Anolis sagrei: one gene and its partner. The protein of the gene in region 1 purifies or fractionates together with the protein of each later gene. This does not show direct contact. Links are inferred from orthologs where the notes say so. Each region holds a gene or a part of one and is shown in the gene's direction. Other genes may lie near its edges.

What was found. Proteins that work in one complex are often made in the same cells at the same time.
Region 2: the proteins of IFT57 (region 1) and IFT80 purify together in Homo sapiens (affinity purification with mass spectrometry; 3 studies listed by BioGRID and IntAct, counting the BioPlex papers as one, with this or other methods). This does not show direct contact. The link is inferred for Anolis sagrei from reciprocal best matches to the Homo sapiens genes IFT57 and IFT80.

Annotation. Positions count from the first base shown.
Region 1 is NC_090023.1:46,701,604-46,709,167, reverse strand, and holds the start of IFT57 (intraflagellar transport protein 57 homolog), read left to right. Parts: upstream 1-4,529; 5' UTR 4,530-4,593; coding exon 4,594-4,757; intron 4,758-7,564. UniProt on the Homo sapiens protein: Required for the formation of cilia. Plays an indirect role in sonic hedgehog signaling, cilia being required for all activity of the hedgehog pathway.
Region 2 is NC_090023.1:246,702,239-246,710,008, reverse strand, and holds the start of IFT80 (intraflagellar transport protein 80 homolog), read left to right. Parts: upstream 1-4,736; 5' UTR 4,737-4,818; intron 4,819-4,825; exon of another isoform or gene 4,826-5,089; intron 5,090-6,777; exon of another isoform or gene 6,778-6,871; intron 6,872-7,770. Other genes in the region: SMC4 (structural maintenance of chromosomes protein 4), read right to left, coding at 1-73, 4,465-4,704.

The DNA of each region.
Region 1 (7,564 bases):
CAGCACTAAATTTGTGTCCATTGGGTACCATTGTTTCTTCCCTCGGATACTTGTACAAATACAACAACCATCACTTTGAATAGCACTGGTGAAATTAATGCATCTGATAGGAGTTGTAACAACAACAACAACAACAACAACAACAACATAATAATAATAATAATAATAATAATAATAATAATAATAATAGCAGCAGCAGTAGTAGTATCGTTATCGTTTTTATCCCACCTTTCTCCCAGTAATGGAACTGAAGCAGATAATAACATAGTAATAACAATGCAAAAGCATTAATAAAAGTATAAATAAGATGTAAAAACCAATTAAAAACTTGAGAAAGTTAAACATTAAAATGAATCAAAAGACTTGGGACCTCATCACACTAGAGAATGAATCCACGGGAAGAGGGAGAAAGGAGAGCAGGAAAGGAGAGAAAGAGGGAGGGAAGGTTGGCCACAGCAACATGTGGCGGGTACAGCTAGTAATATAAACATATACAAGTACCCAAAGTCAAAATTATGTAAAACTAGCTGTACCCGCCACATGTTGCTGTGGCTAACCTTCCCTCCCTCCCTCTTTCTCTTCTTTTTTGTCTACTTCCTTCCCTTCCTATTTCCTTCCTTCTCTTTTTTCTTTTTTTCTCTACCTCCTTCCTTCTCTTCTTCTTCCCTTCCTTCCCCCCTTTTTTCCCTTTCTCTTTCTCCCTGTTCTCCCTTCTCTACCTATTCTTGGACTGCAACTTCCAGCAGTCCTCCTGATCCATCTACCTACCTACCTACCTACCTATCTCTATCTAATCTATCTATCTAGTCAATTGCTGGGAGTTGCAGTCCAGGAATAGGCAATTGGAAATATGCAGGAATTAGGATGCTCTCAAAGAAATCCAAGGAGAAGAAAGCTTGCAGCTTGGAAGCAGTGCATTTGGATCATCCTCGTCTCCTAAAAGGCCTGGTCTAGGGGATGCTGGGAATTATAGTTTGGAAGAGAGTGTGGATATGCTATTGTGTGCTTTGTTTGCTGGGGGGAGTCGTTTTTGCACATGCACTGTAGTGTCTTTTTGCTTTTTTGGCTTTTAAAGTCCCTTCCATTGTGTTTTTCAGTGTTTTTATGATTGATGGTCACTTGTTGGCCTGACAGGTGTATTGTGTTGATTCGTCTAGTGGTTTTTGAGTTATGTTAATCCCACAAACGAACATTATATTTTTACTTATATAGACTAGCCGTCCCCTGCCCCACGTTGCTGTGGCCCAGTCTGGTGACCTGGCTTGGGCCCTCTCAAGTTGGTTTCTAATATATGTAATGTCTTGATGCTTGTGGGTAAACAGTATTTTTTGCTGTTTGTCAGTGTTGATGTGGAGGCTGTCTGGTTTGCCTACTCTGGAACATGCAACATAGCATTGTCCTTCTTTAGGGGTCCCTTTCAAATCTATGCTACTATATCTGTGTGTGAATCATATATATCTATCTATATGGCTGGATGGCTCTTTGTCAGGAGGGCTTTGATTACGTATTCTTGCCCTGGTGAAGGGAGTTGGACTAGATGGCCTTAAGTATTTTCTGTTGGTCATGGGGGTTCTGTGTGGGAAGTTTGGCCCAATTCTGTTGTTGGTGGGGGTCAGAATGCTCTTTGATTGTAGGTGAACTATAAATCCCAGTAACTACAACTCCCAAATGTCAAGGTCTATTAACCCCAAACTCCACCAGTGTTCACATTTGGACATATTGGTGCCAAGTTTGGTCCAGATCCATCATTGTTTGAGTCCTCAATGCTCTCTGGATGTAGGTGAACTACAACTCCCAAACTCAAGGTCAATGCCCACCAAACCCTTCTAGTGTTTTCTGTTGATCATGGGAGTCCTGTGTGCCATCATTGGTGGAGTTCAGAGTGTTCTTTGATTGTAGGCAAACTATACATCCCAGCAACTACAACTCCCAAATGACAAAATCATTTTTTTTAGTGATGGTCACTAAATGGTCACTAGTGATTGGGTTAGTAGATATCTTGTGTCCAAATTTGGTTTAAATTTGCCCAGTAGTTTTTGAATTATGTTAATCCCACAAACAAACATTACATTTTTGTTTATATAGCGTAGCCGTCCCTTCCATGCGTTGCTGTGGCCCAGTCTGTGTATATGTGTTTTGGGTGTGTTTATATATGTGTATATATTTGTGTATATATATATATATGTATATATGGTTTTGCACATGTGTTGTAATGCAATTTTTGTTTTTTGGCTTTTTAAGTCTCTTCTGCTATGTTTTTTAATGTTTTTATGAGTGATGCTCACTCATTGGCCTGATAGAATCATAGAATCATAGAATCAAAGAGTTGGAAGAGACCTCATGGGCCATCCAGTCCAACCCCCTGCCAAGAAGCAGGAATATTGCATTCAAATCACCCCTGACAAATGGCCATCCAGCCTCTGCTTAAAAGCTTCCAAAGAAGGAGCCTCCACCACACCCCGGGGCAGAGAGTTCCACTGCTGAACGGCTCTCACAGTCAGGAAGTTCTTCCTAATGTTCAGATGGAATCTCCTCTCTTGTAGTTTGAAGCCATTGTTCCGCGTCCTAGTCTCCAAGGAAGCAGAAAACAAGCTTGCTCCCTCCTCCCTATGGCTTCCTCTCACATATTTATACATGGCTATCATATCTCCTCTCAGCCTTCTCTTCTTCAGGCTAAACATGCCCAGTTCCCTGAGCCGCTCCTCATAGGGCTTGTTCTCCAGACCTTTGATCATTTTAGTCGCCCTCCTCTGGACACATTCCAGCTTGTCAATATCTCTCTTGAATTGTGGTGCCCAGAATTGGACGCAATATTCCAGATGTGGTCTAACCAAAGCAGAATAGAGGGGTAGCATTACTTCCTTAGATCTAGACACTATGCTCCTATTGATGCAGGCCAAAATCCCATTGGCTTTTTTTGCCACCACATCACATTGTTGGCTCATGTTTAACTTGTTGTCCACGAGGACTCCAAGATCTTTTTCACACGTACTGCTCTCGAGCCAGGCGTCACCCATTCTGTATCTTTGCATTTCATTTTTTCTGCCAAAGTGGAGTATCTTGCATTTGTCACTGTTGAACTTCATTTTGTTAGTTTTGGCCCATCTCTCTAATCTGTCCAGATCGTTTTGAATTCTGCTCCTGTCCTCTGGAGTATTGGCTATCCCTCCCAATTTGGTGTCGTCTGCAAACTTGATGATCATGCCTTCTAGCCCTTCATCTAAGTCATTAATAAAGATGTTGAACAGGACCGGGCCCAGGACAGAGCCCTGCGGCACTCTGCTCGTCACTTCTTTCCAAGATGAAGAGGAAGCATTAGTGAGCACTCTCTGTGTTCGTCCACTTAACCAATTACAGATCCAATTACAGATCCACCTCACCGTAGTTTTGCCTAGCCCACATTGGACTAGTTTCCTTGCCAGAAGGTCATGGGGGACCTTGTCGAAGGCCTTACTGAAATCCAGGTACGCTACATCCACGGCATTCCCCGCATCTACCCAGCTTGTAGCTCTATCGAAGAAAGAGATCAGATTAGTCTGGCATGACTTGTTTTTGATAAATCCATGTTGACTATTAGCGATGACTGCATTTGTTTCTAAGTGTTTGCAGACCGCTTCCTTAACAATCTTTTCCAGAATCTTGCCCGGTATCGACGTGAGGCTGACCGGACGGTAGTTTGGGTCATCCTTTTTTCCCTTCTTGAAGATTGGTGTATTGTATTGTGTATTGTTGTGTATAGCTGTATTGTGTCCAAATTTGATGTCAATTCGTCCAGTGGTTTTGAGTTCTGTTAATCTCACAAACGAATAATAATAAATAAATAAATAAATAAACGAACATTACATTTTTATTTATATAGATTAATAATGCAGCTTGACACTACTTTAAAATGCCATGGCTTCATGTGATGGAGTCATGGGAGTTGTAGTTTCCCCAAGGTCTTTCGCTTTCTCTGCCAAAGAGGGCTGCTGACCATGGCAGTGAAAATGACACCAAGGTGCAATAACTCTACCGCAGGCATGGGGAAACTTTGGCCTTCCAGGTGTTTTGGACTTCAACTCCCACAATTCCTAACAGCTGTTAGGCTGTTAGGAATTGTGGGAGTTGAAGTCCAAAACACCTGGAAGGCCAAAGTTTCCCCATGCCTGTTCTACAGCATGCTCAGCCATATAAACCTGAATATAAAGGCAGAAAAATCCCACAATAACTGCTTTGAACTGGGTTATTTGACTCCACACTGCCATATATTCCAGTCCAAAACAGAAAATGTGGGATTTTATTCAGCTGTGAGGAAGGGGCCTCAAATAAGCCAATTCAAAGCAGGTATTGTGGATTAGCTTCATATTCTGTGTGGAAGGGTCTTGGGGCAAAAGAGAAGAGACTCATAAATGAACTAGTTACTAAAGCATTGGCGCGTCTACGCATGCGCAGCCAGAACTCCCTTGCAAACGCTAGAAAGGCCCGCCCCCTTTCGCTGACGCTCCGTGATTGGCGGGTGAGCGAGCGTCGGCCGAGAAGGGGCGTGGCTTGTTTCCCCGGTGACGCCGCCTCCGGCCCGAGAAGCGCTGGCGGCGTTGTGTTGGCAACCGAGGGATGGTGATGGCGGCGGCGGCAGAAGAAGGCGACCCGGTCGAGCGGGGCCCTGGCGCCGTTTACCACATGTTCGTCCTGATGGAGGACTTGCTGGAGAAGCTGAAGCTGCTCAACTACGAGGAAGAAGCGGCGCTGCGGAGCCACAACATGAGGCCGCCCTCCAGGTGAGGAGGCAAACTACTCCTACACGCAAATACAGGCCTGGTTGTTTGGGGGAGGAGAAAGTTGAAGGCCCAGAAACTTGAGCTGCCAGCACTCTTTGGTAGAGAGGGTTTGAGACTTGGTAGAACTACAATTCTCAGGTTTCCATAGTATTGAGCCATAGCAGTTCAAGTAGTGTCAAACTGGATTCATTCTACACTGTAGAACAGGCATGAGCAAACTTGGGCCCTCCAGGTGTTTTGGACTCCATAGGCTGTTAGGAATTGTGGGAGTTGGAGTCCAAAACACCTGGAGGGCCCAAGTTTGCTCATGCCTGTTCTACAGTGTAGATGCACCCATAGCTTGTCACTTAATAATACTAATAATCTTTATTTATACCCCGCCACCATCTCCCCAATGGGGACTCGGGGCAGCCAAACATGAGGCCAAGCCCAAAAATACAATACAATAAAATAGAGAATGCAAATTCAGAAAATAATTACAATAGCAAAATAAAATACTAAAGCAAATTAACACAACATAAAATCAAACAGGATGGGCAGGCCAAATGGACGACATAAAATGATAAAACCCTGAGTGAAGTAGGAATAGAAAATATGTAATTGAGGGGAGCCCAAAAAGGATAAAACAGTAGGGTATGGTTGAAGGCTTTCATGGCCAGAATCACTGGGTTGTTGTAGGTTTTTTCGGGCTATATGGCCATGGTCTAGAGGCATTCTCTCCTGACGTGTCGCCTGCATCTGTGGCAAGCATCCTCAGAGGGAAAGTGCATCATAGGGGCAACAATATAGATGGGGCAAACAGAAATGGGATAAATGGTCACTCTCCAAAGCCACAAGGTTTTCAGGGTTTTCTTGAAGTGTGCTAAGGAGGGGGCTAGACCAGTCTCACCAGGTAGTGAGTTCCAAAGATGGGGAGCCACAGCAGAGATGGCTTTCTCCCTCTATCCCACAAATCTTGCCTGTGATAAAGGAAGAGGTGAAAGGAGGGTCTCCCCAGAGGATCGGAGATATCAAGCAGGTTGGTGGTAGGAGATGTGGTCACGAAGGTAGGCGGGTCCCAAACAGCTTAACCAGGCTGGCTCTCTTTGCAAAGTTTGTACTTACTTAATATGTCTTTGGAGAAAGAGAGCTGAGTTGGTACATCCAAGCTCTTGAAAAAGTTTTTGTTTGTTGACCAGGGAGGTTCTTACAGGTTGAGTATCCCTTTCTTGCTGCTTCTGACCTGAAGGACTTTTGCATTTCCCCTCCAGATTTTGGAATATTTGCATCTATGCAGTGAAATATCTTGCCGATTACACCCAGGTCTAACCATCAAATGAACTAAATTTGTTTCTTTCCTGATACGCATACCCTGGATATCATTTTATGCATCACATTTAAAAATAATAATTTTGTTTATGAAACAAGGTTAATGTGGGTCACTGTGAGTTTTCTAGGCTGTAAGGCCATGTTCCAGAAGCATTCTCTCCTGACGTTTCACCCACATCTATGGCAGGCATCCTCAGAGGTTGTGAGGTCTGTTGGAAACTAGGCAAGTAATGTTTATATATCTGTGAAATGTCCGGAGTGGGAGGAAAGAACTCTTGTCTATTTGAAGGAAGTGTGAATGTTGCAGTTCCATCACCTTGATTAGTTTCTAAGGTGGTGGGTTTGTTTTTTTTAAGTACAGCTAAATGGACAGGAATGTATAACCTTGTGGATTTCCATAAAAGCTCTGTTGACTGGCTATGTAAAACAGCATTGCATCATAAGACACATAGGATGTGTCATGGAAGGCTTTCATGGCTGGAATCACTGGGTTGCTGTGAGTTTTCCAGGCAGTATGGCCATGTTCCAGAAGCATTCTATCCTGATACCACATATATGGCAGGTATCATCAGAAGTTGTGAGGTTTGTGGGAAACTAGGTAAGTGTGGAATGTTGAGGGTGGGAGAAATAACTATTGTCTGCTTGAGGCAAATGTGAATGTTGCAGTTGGCCACCTTGATTAGCATTGAATAACCTTGCAGCTTCAAATGTTGGCTGCCTCTTTCCTGAGGGAATCCTTTGTTGGGAGGTGATTACCTGGCCCTGATTGGTTCTTATCTGGAATTCCCCTGGTTTTTGAGAGTTGTTCTTTATTTACTGTCCTGATTTTAGAGTATTTTTTAGTACTAGAAGCCAGATTTTGTTCATTTTTATGGTTGCTTCTTTTCTGTTGTAATTGTCCATATGGTTGTGGATTTCAGTGGCTTCTCTGTGTAGTCTGACATGATCGTTGTTAGAGTGGTTCAGTGTTTCTGTGTTCTCAAATAATATGCTGTGCCCAGGTTGGTTCATCAAGTGCTTTGCTATGGCTGACTTCTCTGGTTGAATTAGTTTGCAGTGCCTTTCATGTTCAAGGTTAGTGTACATTGAACTACAGGTTGTTCCCAAGTTAATAAACAAGATGGATTCTGTTGGTTTGTCCTTAAGTTGAATTTGTATGTAAGTTAGGACAGGCGCATTTTTAAGTGTAACTCCACCCCAAAATATATTTTTTGTAGCTTTGGATAGCATAGGGAAGGGTTTGTTTTGCTATCTGTACCCCTGTCATAAGTTATCATCTCTCTTTCTGTCCCTGTGATAATTGGATTTTGAAAAAAATAAGGCTTGTTGTGGAAATAAAGATTGGTAATAAAGCTTCAGTTGAGACACCTTGCCCCTATGATAACACTTTCAGGAGTGAATTTCCCGTCTGTGGGGTAGGTTTCTCTCACTTCCTGTTGTCTCGCCCTGTTCTTCACTATGAGTTATTAGTAAGTCGGATGTTTGTAACTCAGAGACTG
Region 2 (7,770 bases), about 200 Mb from region 1:
GGACTGCTGTAGATACTTTATTTCTTTTGCTTGGCATGATTTCTGTTGGCTGTTCAAATTCCAAACAATCAATCTATAGAAGGATTGTACCTTTGTTGCTAATGCAAACAATGAAATCCAAACACCTATGCTTAAAGGTGTATCCTTAGCATTTACTAAGTTTCAAGTCATTTTTGTAAATGACAGGCATAGGCTTTCACACTTCTAATACACAACCTCAATACTAGGATAGGATTGTACATTCCAGCTCATAATTTACAGCTGTCATACAGAGTCAACATATGAAAAAATTAAATAAACTGGCAGTAAAACAAAAATACAGGCGGTTTTCTGTATCCATGGACTCAGCCACCCACAATTTGAAAGTATTTTTTTAAAACATTCATTTTGCAAAGTTATATAAGGGGTGCCATTTTATCACAGCAGTTAATACAGTGGGACTTGAGCATCCACAGATTTTGATATTCACAGCGATCCTGGAACCAAACTCCATTGGATATTGAGGACCCTTCCTAACTATTCAGAAGGATATAAAAATATATGAAGACTCTGCTGTACACAAGTGTAACTTCTTACATTTCATGTGCACTTTTAAAAAATATAGCAATATGATTACGGGGTTGAATTAGCAGAGTGCTGCTTCCTCACTCGTTTTTTAAAATAAAATAAATAAAACCTCAAACTGCCTATGAATGTCTTAATCCAGTGACAACTGGACTGAAAGAACAGTTGTCAAGTTTTCGTGAAACTTGATCAGAAAGTTTAATACTAAACACCATACTCTGTGATATTTAACACTATGGGGGAGTTAAAAGACAAGGGATGTTTAATAGATGTAATGGGGTTTTTTTTATTTAAAAAAAGACAGATCAGATCATAAAATTTCAAGTTTTAAAAAAAGTCTCTCGATGAGTGTCGACCCCGTTTGGGAGTGGCAGTGACTAGCATGTCTTTTAAGATAACGGTGCACTTAGGGAAAGTATTGCAACTGTTCCATTTCGCTGACATTCATAGCTTTCGCACACTCTGAAAGAATTTAACTGAAGGAACCAACGTTTGCTTTTGAGGGCTAAAAGGAAGCAGGCTCCTTCAAAGGGTGTCGTTTTATGCCACAAGAATTGTGAAAAGTTAGGCGTCCTCATAAACGAGTCAGGCTTTTTTTTTTAACCTCCATAAATCCATCATCTCTTCCCCACTCCCCCCCCCCCCACTGAAAGGGGTTAGAATTTTTGCCAAAAACACTTCTGGAGTTACAGCCAGATATCACTCAGCAGCTCCGGGCCAGAAAACCCCAAACTCCACTATGAACCGAATGTCGAAGTTTTTAAAAATAAATACTTTGACGTACTGCAAGTTGCCTCCCTGAGATTTAGTGAAGACCAGGAACAGGCAAACTTTGGCCTTCCAGGTGTTTTGGACTTCAACTCCCACAATTCCTAACAGCTTACCAGCTGTTAGGAATTGTGGGAGTTGAAGTCCAAAACATCTGGAGGGCCGCAGTTTGCCCTTGTTTGGTATAAACCCATATAATGCAGCTCACTTTGAACTACATTATTTAGCAGTGGAGATCCTGCCTTGGAGATGCCCTTTTTGTCGCCTTTCCATTCCATTCTATTACTTTTAAGTTTTTTACTCTGGTTACTTTTGGGTTTATATAGTATATTTATATACTGTCTTTCTCATTGGCAAGAATTCAATGCCACCATACATATAATAAAACAATAGCTAAACACTGGCATATAATTATAAATTAAAATCACTAAAACCATATAAAACACTAAGGCAAAGCATTAAATCCTAATATAAATATTAATTCTTACAAGTTTATATTGAGGTTGTTTTTATTCACCGTTTCTGATTTGGATTTTTCCTGTTTGCTTATTATGGCATTAAGGCAGGAATGGGCAAACTTTGGTCCTTCGGGTGTTTTGGACTTCAACTCCCAGAATTCCTAACAGCTACTGGCGGTTAGGAATTGTGAGAGTTGAAGTCCAAAACATCTGGAGAGTCGAAGTTTGCCCATGCTTGCATCAATGCCATAATAGACAAACAGGAAAAATATGAGATTGATACATGCTTGCTAATGTATTGTCGCATGCTTTAATGGTTGGAATCACTGGGTAGCTGTGAGTTTTCTGGGCTGTCTGGCCATGTTCCAGAAACACTCTCTCCTGACATTTCACCCACATATATGGCAGGCACCCTCACAGGTTGTGAGGCTTGTTGAAAACATTAAGGCTTGCCTTAATAGCACAACCGGGCAGTGTTTTAAGACTGCGGAAGGAGGTTCTGTTGAACTTCTGCCGTCACTAGGGTTGGTGTCACTCTGTGTGGTAACAAATAGTGTCGACCCTTTGGACCTCCTATTGGACCACACCAGACTCCATAGAGTGTTGTAGCTAAATTACTTGAGAATGTGACAAAATCAAACACTATAAGAAAGTTCAGTCTACTATGTTAATAATAAAATATATTGGGTTGTTGTAGGTTTTTTCGGGGTGTATGGCCATGTTGTAGAGGCGTTTTCTCCTGATGTTTTGCCTGCATCTATGGCAAGCATCCGGTCACTACCTCTGATGATGCTTGCCATAGATGCAGGCGAAACATCAGGAGAGAATGCCTCTAGAACATGGCCATACAGCCCGAAAAAACCTACAACAATCAGGTGATTCCGGCCATGTAAGCCTTCGACAATACATATAATATATTGTATGTACATATAATATTGATATTATAATGTAATACAATACTACTAACAATAAATAATATAATAATTATATATGTATTACATGTAATATTACTAATATTGCATTATAGTGGTACAGTACAATATAGTAATATATAATATTTTGCTATGCTAATAATATATTGGCCATGTTCTAGAGGCGTTTTCTTCTGACGTTTCGCCTGCATCTATGACAAGCATCCTCAGAGGCTTGTCAGTTGTGAGGCTTGTTGGAAACCACCCTGAGTCCCTTAAATAAATAGGGTGGGTTACAAATAAATTATTATTTTTTTATCATTATATTACAATTGGTAATTGGTAATTTTTTATAAAAAGTAGGACCAGTTTCTCTGCTGATTAAGGCTTATTCATTTTCATTTAGGAAACAGGTGAAGACTTGGTTATGGAGATAGGCATTCGACGAGTGAGCCAACACCCTGAGATATGGATGGAGGATGATGAGCAACGATTTTAGTATGACAGGTCGCAGGTTCGAATCAGGGGAGAGTCGGGTGAGCTCCCTCTATCAGCTCCAGCTCCTCATGCGGGGACATGAGAGAAGCCTCCCACAAGGATGATAAAAACATTAAAAAAAATCATCTGGGCATCCCCTGGGCAACGTCCTTGCAGACGGCCAATTCTCTCACACCAGAAGCGACTTGCAGCTTCTCAAGAAGCTCCTGACACGACAAACAAACAAAAAAAAGTATGATGACTGACCATTATAGTTATTGTATTGTCGAAGGCTTTCATGGCTGGAATCACTAGGTTCTTGTAGGTTTTTTCGGGCTATAGGGCCATGTTCTAGAGGCATTTCTCCTGACATTTCGCCTGCATCTATGGCAAGCATCCTCAGAGGTAGTGAGGTCTGTTGGAAACATGGCCCTATAGCCCGAAAAAACCTACAAGAACCTAATTATAGTTATTGATTGTAATTGCTGTTTTAATGTTTTACTGTAATATGTATTATGATGTTTTATTGATTGTATGTGATATTATGGTTGGAAACCGGTCTGAGTCCCTCAAGAGAGGTGAGAAGGCCGGTATACAAAACTTTTAAATAAATAAATCGACGAAAAATAATATTTTCAAAAATTAGAAAAAATATTATCTCCTGTGACAACCTTAAAAAAGCATAAGGTTTCTAATTGATTGTAATTGCTGTTTTAATGTTTTACTGTAATATGTATTATGTTGTTTTATTGATTTATGTGATATTATGGTTGGAAACCGGTCTGAGTCCCTCAAGAGAGGTGAGAAGGCTGGTATACAAAACTTTTAAATAAATAAATAAATAAAACGACGAAAAATAATATTTTCAAAAATTAGTAAAAATATTATCTCTTGTGACAACCTTAAAAAAGCATAAGGTTTCTAATTTCTCCCATTAAAAAAAATAGATAGATCCATAGAGGCAAATTGTGGCGGGGAAAAAGGGAAATTAAAGAATGCCGCCTTTTTCCTTTCTTTTAAATTCAGACTCCGATGGAAAACAACACCTCATCTTGTCTATTATTATTATTAATATTGATCATAATGATCATGATTATATTTTTCCCTTCAACCCCACAGAGAAGTCATAGACCCCATTTATGGGGGAAGTTTCTCTCCTCTGATTCGAGTTCCTCCAATATCTCCAGAAGCTGAAGCAATCAGTAATGGTCACAGTATGAGCAGCGATGATTTCCAAGCGTGGGGCTGCCTTCTCCCCCGCTCCCGGGATCCCAAGGCCCGCTTACCGTCCTGCGCCTCCCTTCAGAGCTTGCTCCCTCCGCTCGCTTCCTGCCTGCAGCCTTGGCGGCTTCCACACTCGAAAATGGCGCCCAAACGGCAAACTCGTAACGAAATTCGTTAGAAATGCGCAAAGCATGCTGGGGGAAAAGGAAAAGGGGCGGGGCTTCCACGGGTTTGAAAGGAGGCGAAAGAAGAAGGGAGGGGGGAGAGGAGGGAGGAAGAAAAACCCCCTCAAGCGCCGCCATCTTGTTTTCCCGTTAGCGAGCTGAAAGGCGGCTGTAGTGGCTGTAAAAATGTTTTCCACGTCAGGAATTAGCTTTTTTTCCCTCTGTCTTATTTTGACTCGTGGAATTGAGCAGGTATTCTTATTTATTTAATTTTGCTATCAAATCTAAATCGTATGGGTTGTTTTGCCGATATAAAGACGGTTTTTGACAGGTCGGCGCTCTGACGTCACGACGGGTGTGGGAGGGGGGAAGGAGCGAAGAGTGCGATCGGAGAGGAAATCTCGCGAGAAGTCGCTATAGAGACGGAGCGGCGTCGCCAACGCAGGGCTTTGGGCGCGAGCTGAAGTCGCAACAAGGCTCCTCTTGGAGAGACTCTGGATTCCCTATTTATTGGCTTCTACAGGTAAGGGAGCTGATTTTGAGGGTCTTCAGGGCGTAGGTCTCTGCACTGACATTCCACAATGGTTTACATATCTCTTAGTTTGGGTTGTTGTAGGTTTTTTCTGGCTATATGGCCATGTTCTACAGTAGTGGTTCTCAACCTGGGGTCCACAGATGTTTTTGGCCTACAACTCCCAGAAATCCCAGCCAGTTTACCAGCTGTTAGGATTTCTGGGAGTTGAAGGCCAAAAACATCTGAGGACCCCAGGTTGAGAACCACTGTTCTAGAGGCATTCTCTCCTGACGTTTCGCCTGCATCTGTGGCAAGCATCCTCAGAGGTAGTGAGGTCTGTTGGAACTAGGAAAAAGGGTTTATATGAGGAGTTTTATTTGTTGGATCAGTGGCTTAAATCTGGGTTTAGAAGGTTGCTTTTACATATTAATATATTGTTGTAAAATAACCTGAATCACCATTAGTGAAGGAAGATAGATGCTTTTGAACTGTGGTGTTGGAGGAAAGTTCTGAGAGTGCCTTGGACTGCGAGAAGATCCAACCAGTCCATCCTCCAGGAAATAAAGCTCATTGGAGGGAAGGATACTAGAGACAAAGTTGAAGTACTTTGGCCACATCATGAGGAGACAGGAAAGCCTAGAGAAGACAATTATGCTGGGGAAAGTGGAAGGTAAAAGGAAGAGGGGCCGACCAAGGGCAAGATGGATGGATGGCATCCTAGAAGTGACTGGACTGACCTTGAAGGAGCTGGGGGTGGTGACGGCCGATAGGGAGCTCTGGCGTGGGATGGTCCATGAGGTCACCAAGAGTCGGAGACCAAGGTAGAGACATCTCCAGCTTATCCCCTGTTTGGGTATCAGCCAGCACGTCAACGACTTAAATCTAGAAATAGTTTTCTAAGATCTACAGAGACACTCGCTGGAACACCTCAGCAAGCGAGAGTCCAAAAATGGCAGGCTCAAACCCAGCACCTCAACCAATGGCTGATACCCAATGAGAGACTCACTCCTGGGCACACAGAAGACTGGGTGACTTGGAAGGCACTGAACAGACTGCGCTCTGGCACCACGAGACGCAGAGCCAACCTTCAGAAATGGGGCTACAAAGTGGAATCCTCGACATGCGAGTGTGGAGAAGAGCAAACCACTGACCACCTGCTGCAATGCACCCTGAGTCCTGCTACATGCACAATGGAGGACCTTCTTGCAGCAACACCAGAGGCACTCCAAGTGGCCAGATACTAGTCAAAGGACATTTAACCAACTACCAAACTCACAAGTTTTGTATTTTTCTATTTGTTTGCTTTGGTCTGTTAGAAATGTAATATAATGGACTAGTTGCTCTGACACGACAAATAAAATAAATAAATAAGTCGGAGACGACTGAACGAATGAACAAAAATAACATATCTGTGGAATGACCAGGGTGGGACAAAGGACTCTTGTCTGCTGGAGATAGGCGTGAATGTTTCAACTGACCACCTTGATTGGCATTTGAGGGCCTGGCAGTGCCTGGGGCAATCTTTTGTTGAGAGGTGATTAGGTGTGTCTGATTCCCCCCCCCCCCCCCTGTTGTTTTGCTGTTGTAATTTTAGAGTTTTTTAATACTGGTATCCAGATTTTGTTCATATTCATGGTTTCCTCCTTTCTGTTGAAATTGTCCACATGCTTGTGGATTTCAATGGCTTCTCTGTGTAGTCTGACATGGTGGACAAGAGGGATCCTCTCACTTCTGCAGGAGTCTACCGTATACCATGCAGCTGGCAGAGGCGGCCCGAGGTAATTTTCAACGGTAAGCAAACAGTATTTTGGCACCCCCCACCCCCCAACCAATCACTGATATATATTTTCTGTTCGTCATGGGAGTTCTGTGTGCCATATTTAGTTCAATTCCATCATTGGTGGAGTTCAGAATGCTCTTTGATTGTAGGTGAACTATACATCCCAGTAACTACAACTCACATATGTCAAGGTCTATTTTCCCCCAAGAGCGCCTCAAGAGCGCCCCTGGGCAAAATCAACTATACTGCAAATGCTTATTTTGCGTAATGGGTTGAGCTGTCCTTGAGCTGTGGACAAGCCTACATAGGGACCACCAAACGCAGCGCCCAAACACGAATCAAGGAACATGAAAGACACTGCAGACTACTTCAGCCAGAGAAGTCAGACATAGCAGAGCACCTGATGAACCAACCTGGATACAACATATTATTTGAGAATATAGAAATGCTGGACCACTCTAACTACCATCATGTTTTCTGATGGTCTTTGGTGACCCCTCTAACACCCCCTTGCGACCCCCCTCAGGGGTCCCAACCCCCAGGTTGAGAAATGGTTCCTTACTATCTATCTCAGGCATGGACCAACTTTGGCCCTCCAGGTGTTTTGGACTGCAACTCCCACAATTCCTAACAGCCCAAGCCTGGCTTAGGTAGATAGAGCTGAAAGAGAGATATATAATCCCTACAAAACACTATCTACTATTTTGAAACTGGTTGCCTTTAAAAGTAATTTTCCAAACTCTATCCAGGCAAGTTACATTGCACAGGGCTTTTAAATGTATTCAAATGGCACTTGATTCCCTGCTCTAACCCACCCCACAGAAATTTCCTTTGCTATATTAGTTTTACTCTCGGTTGATCTGCTGAATTTGCTGAATGGTTGGCGGTTCCAGTCCGGGGAATGGGGTGA